Mus musculus: one gene and its partner. The main gene of each other region encodes a partner of the protein of the gene in region 2 in a complex. Links are inferred from orthologs where the notes say so. Each region holds a gene or a part of one and is shown on either strand. Other genes may lie near its edges.

Evidence for each region. Proteins that work in one complex are often made in the same cells at the same time.
Region 1: Yeats2 (region 2) and Mbip share a complex: the UniProt entries of both Homo sapiens proteins name them as parts of the ADA2A-containing complex. The link is inferred for Mus musculus from reciprocal best matches to the Homo sapiens genes YEATS2 and MBIP.

The regions. Positions count from the first base shown.
Region 1 is NC_000078.6:56,339,182-56,343,512, forward strand, and holds part of Mbip (MAP3K12-binding inhibitory protein 1), read right to left. Parts: intron 3,229-4,331; exon of another isoform or gene 3,175-3,228; coding exon 3,055-3,174; intron 1,423-3,054; coding exon 1,204-1,422; intron 1,117-1,203; coding exon 1,020-1,116; intron 1-1,019. UniProt on the Homo sapiens protein: Inhibits the MAP3K12 activity to induce the activation of the JNK/SAPK pathway. Component of the ATAC complex, a complex with histone acetyltransferase activity on histones H3 and H4.
Region 2 is NC_000082.6:20,220,756-20,225,086, reverse strand, and holds part of Yeats2 (YEATS domain-containing protein 2), read right to left. Parts: intron 3,427-4,331; exon of another isoform or gene 3,414-3,426; coding exon 3,334-3,413; intron 2,348-3,333; coding exon 2,146-2,347; intron 1-2,145. UniProt on the Homo sapiens protein: Chromatin reader component of the ATAC complex, a complex with histone acetyltransferase activity on histones H3 and H4. YEATS2 specifically recognizes and binds histone H3 crotonylated at 'Lys-27' (H3K27cr).

The DNA.
Region 1 (4,331 bases), on a different chromosome or scaffold from region 2:
CAGCAAGGACTGAATGGGCTTAGGAGTCCTGCTGAGCATTTCAATTCTTGTCAATTTCTATCCCCTGGTGGTTTATAATAATAGAGTTAGCAGGAGGAACAGAGGAATAACATTAGTGACACATGTCCTTGCTCCCTCAACAAACCCTTTCTCTTGAGGCGTGTACAGCTGGATTGCCACACCTGAGATTTTCCACTGTTACACCTGCTCTAAAGAGCTAATTCTAGGGATCCACACAAGCTAAAGCAGAAAAGTTTAATTTAGAATCCACAGTAAGCCCACGTTATTATGTTAAGAGTGTCACATATCAATGTGATTATGAGTCATTTCCAGGTTCAACGGACAATTTCATGTTTATAATCATTAACTAAGAGATATTAATGGCAGTAAGAAAAAAATGGTCAACCCAATTACAAACCTTTTTTCATAATTTTTTTCTAAGAACTACTTACAGTCTGGTTATTACAAAGCTAACTGGTTATGATCTGTGGCAATCTACACAGTCTATGGGGTTCTGCAGGTCCTCTGCAGACCTGGAAACACTGTAGCCCCAAACGAAGAGGAAAGGGAGACAGAGGCGAAACGGCAAAGGTGAGACAGCAGTGTGAAAAGGGAGAGGCCTGGGGCTGAGGCTCCACAGGACTTCATGGCAAGCTGGGTGTATCCACCATGAAACTCAGGAGTCAGGAGAAAACTGCTCCCTTGTGAGGGGTGCAAGTAGTGCTACTAGGTTCGCTGGTTCACCTTCACTTTCTAAAGGAACTCTGATCTTCTTGAACCTGTGGTAAACATCTGTCTCTAGAGTTCGGCCTTCACTTGGATTTTTTATGTAACCAAAATGAGAATCAGTTTGGCAACAGAGCCCATTACTAAATAAAGGAAAATTCTACTACCTTAATTATCAACTAAACACCTGCAAAATAGAATCTTGTTCTTAATGTTATATGTTTTTAAAACAAAATATTATAGCAGTTGTCAAGATGTTTAAAATTCTGTTAAAAAAAAAAACTTGTAGTTACCTTGATTACAATCAATAACATTGCAAAATTCCCTGACATTGTTTTCATTGATTTCAGCTTGTTTTCTCTCAATAAATGCAGATATTCGTCTGTCAATCTAAAACAACAAATAATTTAACAATCTAAACACAACAGAACTTTTCAAAGTAATGTTACCCTGACCCGTGTACCTGTCCACACTCACTTCTGCTTTTCCAGCCTTGATCTGAACTACTTCTGGGTCAAAAAGGTTTTGTGTCTTTTTCACATCTCCTACATCACAGTCTTTGGGCTTCCCTTCATCTTGTAGGTCCTCGGTGGGATGTATGGCTCTTAGTTCACTCTTGGTCTCTGCTTCTGTCTGTCTTATCTCTGTAGCTGTTGAGTTTTCTTTCATTAAAGACTGAAGTTTTGCTAAAAAAGGCTGGAAAGAACACAGTTACATCTGTTCAGGTTCAAACTCATCTCAGCTAGTGATAGATTTATCTAAGCTGCTGCTACAGAAATGAATATTATCAGTTATTAAACATAAAAAGCTGGCATACAAGGACACACAGATCTTAACACACACAGGTTTGCTGTTTTCTACTACTGTACATTGCCCTTATCATTTACTGTACATTTATTTTTAAAAAAGAAGAAAAGAAAGAAAACCTGAGGACATTTAAATTTTTCTTTGAGGAAATCATTCTGTCATTCATCTTTTATTTTGTGCTAAATCAAAGCCTCAGACTCTGGCCTGGATGCCTCTTAATTAACATGTCATTCAGAACACTAGGCTGAGTGTTCTCCCTCCTTAGCAGGAGGGCAGTGCTCACTCAGCAAAGCCCTGCATTATCACTGTATCGCTGAGACTCTCCACTTCAAAGTACAGTTGGCCAAAATGAATGAGAGAGCATGGATATGAAGTATATAGGTGTTACCCTGAGTGAATAGTCAGCCTTTCTCTGTCATAGTATGATATCTTATTGGGACATGAAATGAAATTTCACAAAAGAAAATGCACACGGGGAGAAGAAAGAGAAAGGAAGGAAGGAAGGAAGGAAGGAAGGAAGGAAGGAAGATAGGTAGATAGAAAGAAAGAAAACAAAACATGCTATACACGTTGGAAACAGATCATTCCAACTACAGTAGGTTAAAAAAAATGTCTTCATAATGGAAATTCACTTCCTTTCCTGTCATCCCCACCTGGATATGGTCCACATTTGAGTTCTATAGCTCATCACTTGCCCTTTAAACAAAGTGTTAACTGTTATTTTTATCATGAAACACAGCTAAACATCCCAGAAAGTACTCTTCTGAAATCTTCTAACATCTTCAACAGGGTAAAGTGACCAGAAAAAGCAGTTCTGCTTATCCTGATGAGAGAAAACCTCCAACTCCCATCAATTACACTCGCAGAGATGTTAAACAACAACAGCAAGGTTATAATACTGTTCATTTCTTAAACTGAAATATTAAAAATGTAACAATACCATTATAAATAATTCAATATTGACTTCCAATAAAGGATAAATTATTTCAAATTATTAAGATGAAATAGTGACTGGCTACTCACTAAGATGAAACATTAATGTCACAGAAATTACTTTCTTTTTAAAAACTATGCTGAAACTGTTTAATTGCAATAGACACTCCAGGATGTATCATGCTGGGATAATGCCACTTCTTGAACCACTGAAAGCACTCCATGAGCCTCCAAACTCACCCAAGGCATGGAATCATTATCATAGCATGACTCACACCTGCCGTGTCTTATTGCTTAATTATAACCCACCATAGATGAACTGTATTGAATTTTCAGCAAAGCCTAGAATTGAATAGAATTGCATTTATTCAATCTCATACCCACATTGGCCTATTGGGCTATATTCTCATAACTATTCCGATCACTAGTGAAATTAACAGACCTAGACTCAATATGGATTTTAATAACCTTTTATTAATAATACTGTTAACAGAATGTTGAGGTAGAACTGAAAAATACTCCAGTTAATTTAACTATAGGTAATTTCTATTTTCAATATCCAGTAAATATTTCTAATATGAAATTTACCTGTAAATACAAAACGTGTTGTTCAAGTGCAGTAAGGAGCAGTGCAGGCTGGGATGCTGAGAGGCTCTGGAGCCTGTTCCAATCGATTGTAATTTTCACCACATCATCTCTGAGGTTAAGCTTCAAAGAGGCAAACCAGCAACATCACAAAAATTACACGATTAAGCTGTATATCTGGGATTATCACAAAAATAAGATTTCTATGGAGTAATGCATGCCTATTTTGCTCAAAGTTACTAAGTTTCAATGACATAATAAAATGCTTTACCCAGTTGCCATTTTAAAAAGCCAAAAGGCACAGTTTTGAAAATAAAAAGTAAAAACATGTCTTATTATTTTAATTCTGTTCCTGGGGCCATCTTTGAAAAGCCATCCATGAAAGATAAACCTCTTTTGATACTTTGATATTTTAAAGACCACTGGAAGGTATCCAAAAATAGATCTGCCCTAGTCAGAATCCTACTGAATCCCAACTAGGCATTCAACAGACGAAGATCAACTACGACAGTCCAGAAAGTGTATTCTCTTTGTTACATATCACACAAACACATGCCTAAAATATATCATTACTCTGATGTCTTCTCAATTATTTTTATTGTTTTCAAACTTAGCTAATTAAAAAAGTATTTAAGACTTAAGATTATTCACACATAGGGACAGATGACAGTAACTACTTCAAATAAAAATTAAACTATCAGTTATGAAATTATTGAGATAAAAACCAAGTACTTTCCCAAAGCAGTACAACGAAGCCAAAAGTCAATGTCCAGTGTGTTTCCTAAGGGTTTTCTAGAAAGATATGTCTCATAACACGGAAACTTCTCACCAGGTAGTGATTTATTAGAACAAAAGTATATCCAGAACACTACCAAGAATATAAAATTAATATCAAAATCAGTCAAAACTTTAGAGGGAGAAGCTTCCACCTGTACATTTGACTGAGTATAAGGGAATCACTATAAACTTTGCTAGACACAATTCAAGTGGAAACAAGTCAATTGTACTTATTTTGCAATAATAATTTATTAAAAATTATGTCATATTTTCTACAAAGTAAAGATGCATGTTTCATGAGCTCAAATACAAATTTAAAGAGCTGTAAGAATAAAAAACCAAGACATGTGCTGATGGATTACTTTCATATTCAATAATAAATGCAGTTATCTTAGTAATCTTATCGTCAAATCTTAACTTAGTGTAAGTTTACCTATGTCAGTATAGCCTATGTAAAATTTCATATTTCTTTATGTTTGCCAAATGTGGACTTAGATGCCCCT
Region 2 (4,331 bases):
TAAACAGAGACATGGTGAAACTAACTGAAGTTATGAAACAAATGGATTTAACTGACATCTATAGAACATTTTATCCTAAAACAGAAGGATACACCTTTTTCTCAGCACCTCATGGTACCTTCTCCAAAATTGACCATATAATCAGTCACAAAACAGGCCTCAACAGATAAAAAAATATTGAAATAATTCTATGTATCCTATCAAATCACCACGGACTGAGGCTGATCTTCAATAACAATAATAGAAAACCCACACAGACGTAGAAGCTGAAAAATACTCTACTCAATGATAACTTGGTCAAGGAAGAAATAAAGAAATTAAAGACATTTTAGAGTTTAATGAAAATAAAAATGAAGCCACAACATAGCCACAATGAAAGCAGTCCTAAGAGGAAAACTCATAGCTCTGAGTGCCTCCAAAAAGAATCTGGAGAGAGCATACATGAGCAGCTTGACAGCACACCTGAAAGCTTTAGAACAAAAGGAAGCAAATTTACCAAAGAGAAGTGGACAGCAGGAAATAATCAAACTCAGGGCTGAAATCAACCAAATAGAAACAAAAAGAACTATACAAAGAATCAACCAAACCAGGAGCTGGTTCTTTGAAAAAATTAACAAGATAGATAAACCCTTAGCCAGACTAACTAGAGGGCACAGGGACAGTATCCTAATTAACAACATCAGAAATGAAAAGGGAGACATAACAACAGAATCTGAGGAAATCCAAAACATTATCAGATCCTACTATAACAGCCTATACTCAACACAACTGGAAAACCTGGATGAAATAGACCATTTTCTAGTCAGATACCAGGTACCAAAGTTAAATCAGGATCAGATTAATGATCTAAACAGTCCCATATCCTCTAAAGAAATAGAAACAGTCATTAAAAGTCTCCCAACAAAAAAAGCCCAGGACCAGATGGGTTTAGTGCAGAGTTCTATGAGACCTTCAAAGAAGACCTAATTCCAACTCTCCTTGAACTACTCCACAAAATAGAAACAGAAGGTACTCTACCCAACTCATTCTATGAAGTCACAATTACTCTGATACCTAAACCACACAAAGACCCAACAAAGAAAGAGAATTTCAGACCAATTTCCCTTATGAATATCGATGCAAAAATACTCAATAAAATTCTTGCAAACTGAATCCAAGAACACATCAAAACAATCATCCATCCTGATCAAGTAGGCTTCATCCCTGGGATGCAGGGATGGTGCAATAAATGGAAATCCATCAACGTAATCCACTATATAAACAAACTCAAAGACAAAAACCACATGATCATCTCATTAGATGCTGAGAAAGCATTTGACAAAATCCAATACCCATTCATGATAAAAGTATTAGAAAGATCAGGAATTCAAGGCCCATACCTAGACATAGTAAAAGCAATATACAGCAAGCCAGTAGCCAACATCAAACTAAATGGGGAGAAACTTGAAGCAATCTCACTAAAATCAGGCCCTAGACAAGGCTGCTCACTCTCTCCCTATTCAATATAGTACAGAGCACCAGTGAAACTTGGAGGTAATCACATGGTCTCTGCCCACCAAGGACATAGATCTAGAAGTCAACAAACCCTCTCAGCACAGATAGTATATACCATAGGAAATGAGAGAAAAGACCACTAAGCACTTGGGTCCCAGGAAGCTTTCTACAGAAAACAAGACTTACCTAGATGGGGTGGGGCATTCTGATGTCTGTAAGAACATGGCTGAACCCTTCTTATTCTTTAAGGAATAGCCAGATGCTTTCATGCCTCTAATTTTTTTCTTTAGTAGTTGTCTGTTTCTTTCCTATATTTCCTACAACACTGTTGATTATTCTCATGTGTCCCCAATACCCTCTCCAGGCTTGGGGGTACAGTACCACATCCATAAGACACTGGCCTATTTTGATGGTAGTAGGCCTGACCTGCCTACTAGGGGTCCTTAAACACTTGGGTATAGTTCTGAAGGGCTGTGCTGTCTGGGGTGTCATGGTAAGAAGAAAGGGGTCATGGTAAGAAGAAAGGGTCTTGTCATCTAGACCAGCTCTCCCTCACCCCTAACTGAAGGCAAGAACACTGAAGCCAAGTGTTTTGTAGGGGTTGACAGGAGGCAAACACGCTCCACACTGGGGCAACCTATTAAGGCCTACCTGGTTCACTGTCAATCTGGGTCAGCACATCCTCAATGGAGTCTCCATCATGTCGCAGGCTCTCGGGGTCTGGTGGGGTGTAACCGTGGCAGCGGCACCAGTGAGCAATGTGCTTGGTCTTGAGGGGAGTCAAGTGGTGGAATCTTGGATTCTTCTCCAGGATTTCTTGTAACACTTTTCGTACTGTCATTGCTCTTTGCCACTTAAAAAGGATTTGATCCAAAATTAAATCCTTGAACTTTAAAATCAACAGTCGTGCACTGAAATAAACCAAGCAACTAAGAAATCAGATTCTGTCACTCTCTAGCAACAAAGGGACGACTTGTTTTGGGACCAGTGAGATGGCTCAGAGAGTGAGATGCCTGCCACCAAGCCAAACAAGCTGATTTGCAGGAGAGAACTGACTCGTCACGTCCTCCAGGCTTCACAAATGTGCAGTGGCATGCATGTGAGAATGTGCATGTGTGTACATGCACACATACACAATAACAGTTTTACATGTAATAAAAAGAGTTACTATCGGTCTTAGTGTTTACAAAATACAACAGAAACTTCTATGTCTGCATTTAAGGCTTTTCACCTGGTCATGAACCAACTTTTCATTTTCCCCAAAGCAAATTCGATGGATGACCCAGCTTCCGCTGGTGCCCAGCTACACGGCACACACTTTCTTCTCTCAAGATTCAACTGCATTTGGCAACATTGTTGTAAGTACTCTGTAAAACTCTGAATTCAGTATTATTTTGAAATTTACAAATTTAAAAATATTAATTTTATGTGTACTTGTGTGCACCACGTGCATGCCCCCATGTCTAAAGTGGCCAAAAGAGGGCATTTAGGTCCCCTGGAAATGCAATTACAGATTGTTGTGAACTGCTATTCAGGTGCTGGGAAATGAACCCACGTTCTCTGTGATCACAGCCATCTTGCTGCTGAGCTAACTATTCAATCCCAAAATATTTAAGATTTTCAAAGAAAATATAAGATGCTTTTCCTGGTACAGGAGACAAGCCTTCAAGAGATATCTGGGATCCAGAAGAACAAAGTTTCTGACTGAGCAATGGTCTACCACCTAAAGAGGCAAGTTTGCCTCCTTTTGTCCATAGAGGAAGAACACGCAAGCGTCCTCCTCTACTGTGCATCTGACTTTCAGTGCAGGCTGCAGACCTGTCCGGCAAGCAACCTCACCTCAGCAGCTCTCCTCTTCCCAATGTTCCAGCCGTAATACTGCTCCAAGGACTTCGCAGAAAAACAGCTGGCATCATCACCTACAACAGAGAACTGCAAACTCTGAATAAAAGTGATTGTTTAGAACAAAAGTTATTGTTAGTAGATTTCCAAGTTCCTTGATTTCCTTTTATAAAATAATATAAAAAATTTATTACTCTGCATGTGTGATGTATGTGCGTAAGTGAGGGTTTCTGCATGCCATGTGGAAGTAAGAAAACAACTCCTGAGGGTTAGTTCTTTTCTTCCACCTTTCTGAGACTCAGATTTAATGCCCATATCTGCTAAGTTGTGGGTTCTAGGCTGGCTAACCACAAGTTTCTGGCCAATTCTCTTGTGGCTGCCGCTCACCTCCTGGTAAAGATGCACCGGCATTATAGATGCATGTGCCATTGTAATCTGAATTCTTTCTAGTTATCGACTGATTAATTTTTGTATTTTGGGGTTTTTTGAGACAGAGTCCATTAGTGGTCAAGGCTGGACTCATCTTCAAGATCTGCCTGACTATGCTTCCTGAGTGCTGGTGTTAAAGGGATGCACCAACATACTTGGCTCTGCGATGTGGCGTTCTATGCAGGTTTCCTGTAGATGAAGAGCTTTTACCCTCTGAGCCATTTTACTGGTCCCCTACTTGCTTTGTGTGACATATTTCTCACGGAACAACACTGGATAAAGGCAACAGATGAAAGAATGCAACAGAGGTGAACTAGGGGCTTGGCCTTGCCACCAGCTCACTAGGTAGCCCTGGGTAAGCCATAGCAACACTCTGGGCTTCAGTGTCCTTCCCTGTAAACTGTAACAGATGCTCTTGAACTGCCCAGTTCTAGCTTTAACATTCTGAGTTTTAATGTAAGTGGACAGAGAAGGAGGAAGGGAGCATGCATGTGTGGACGCGCACAGACAGACACACACACACAGACACACACTCAGAGATACACACACATACACACAATGTAGGT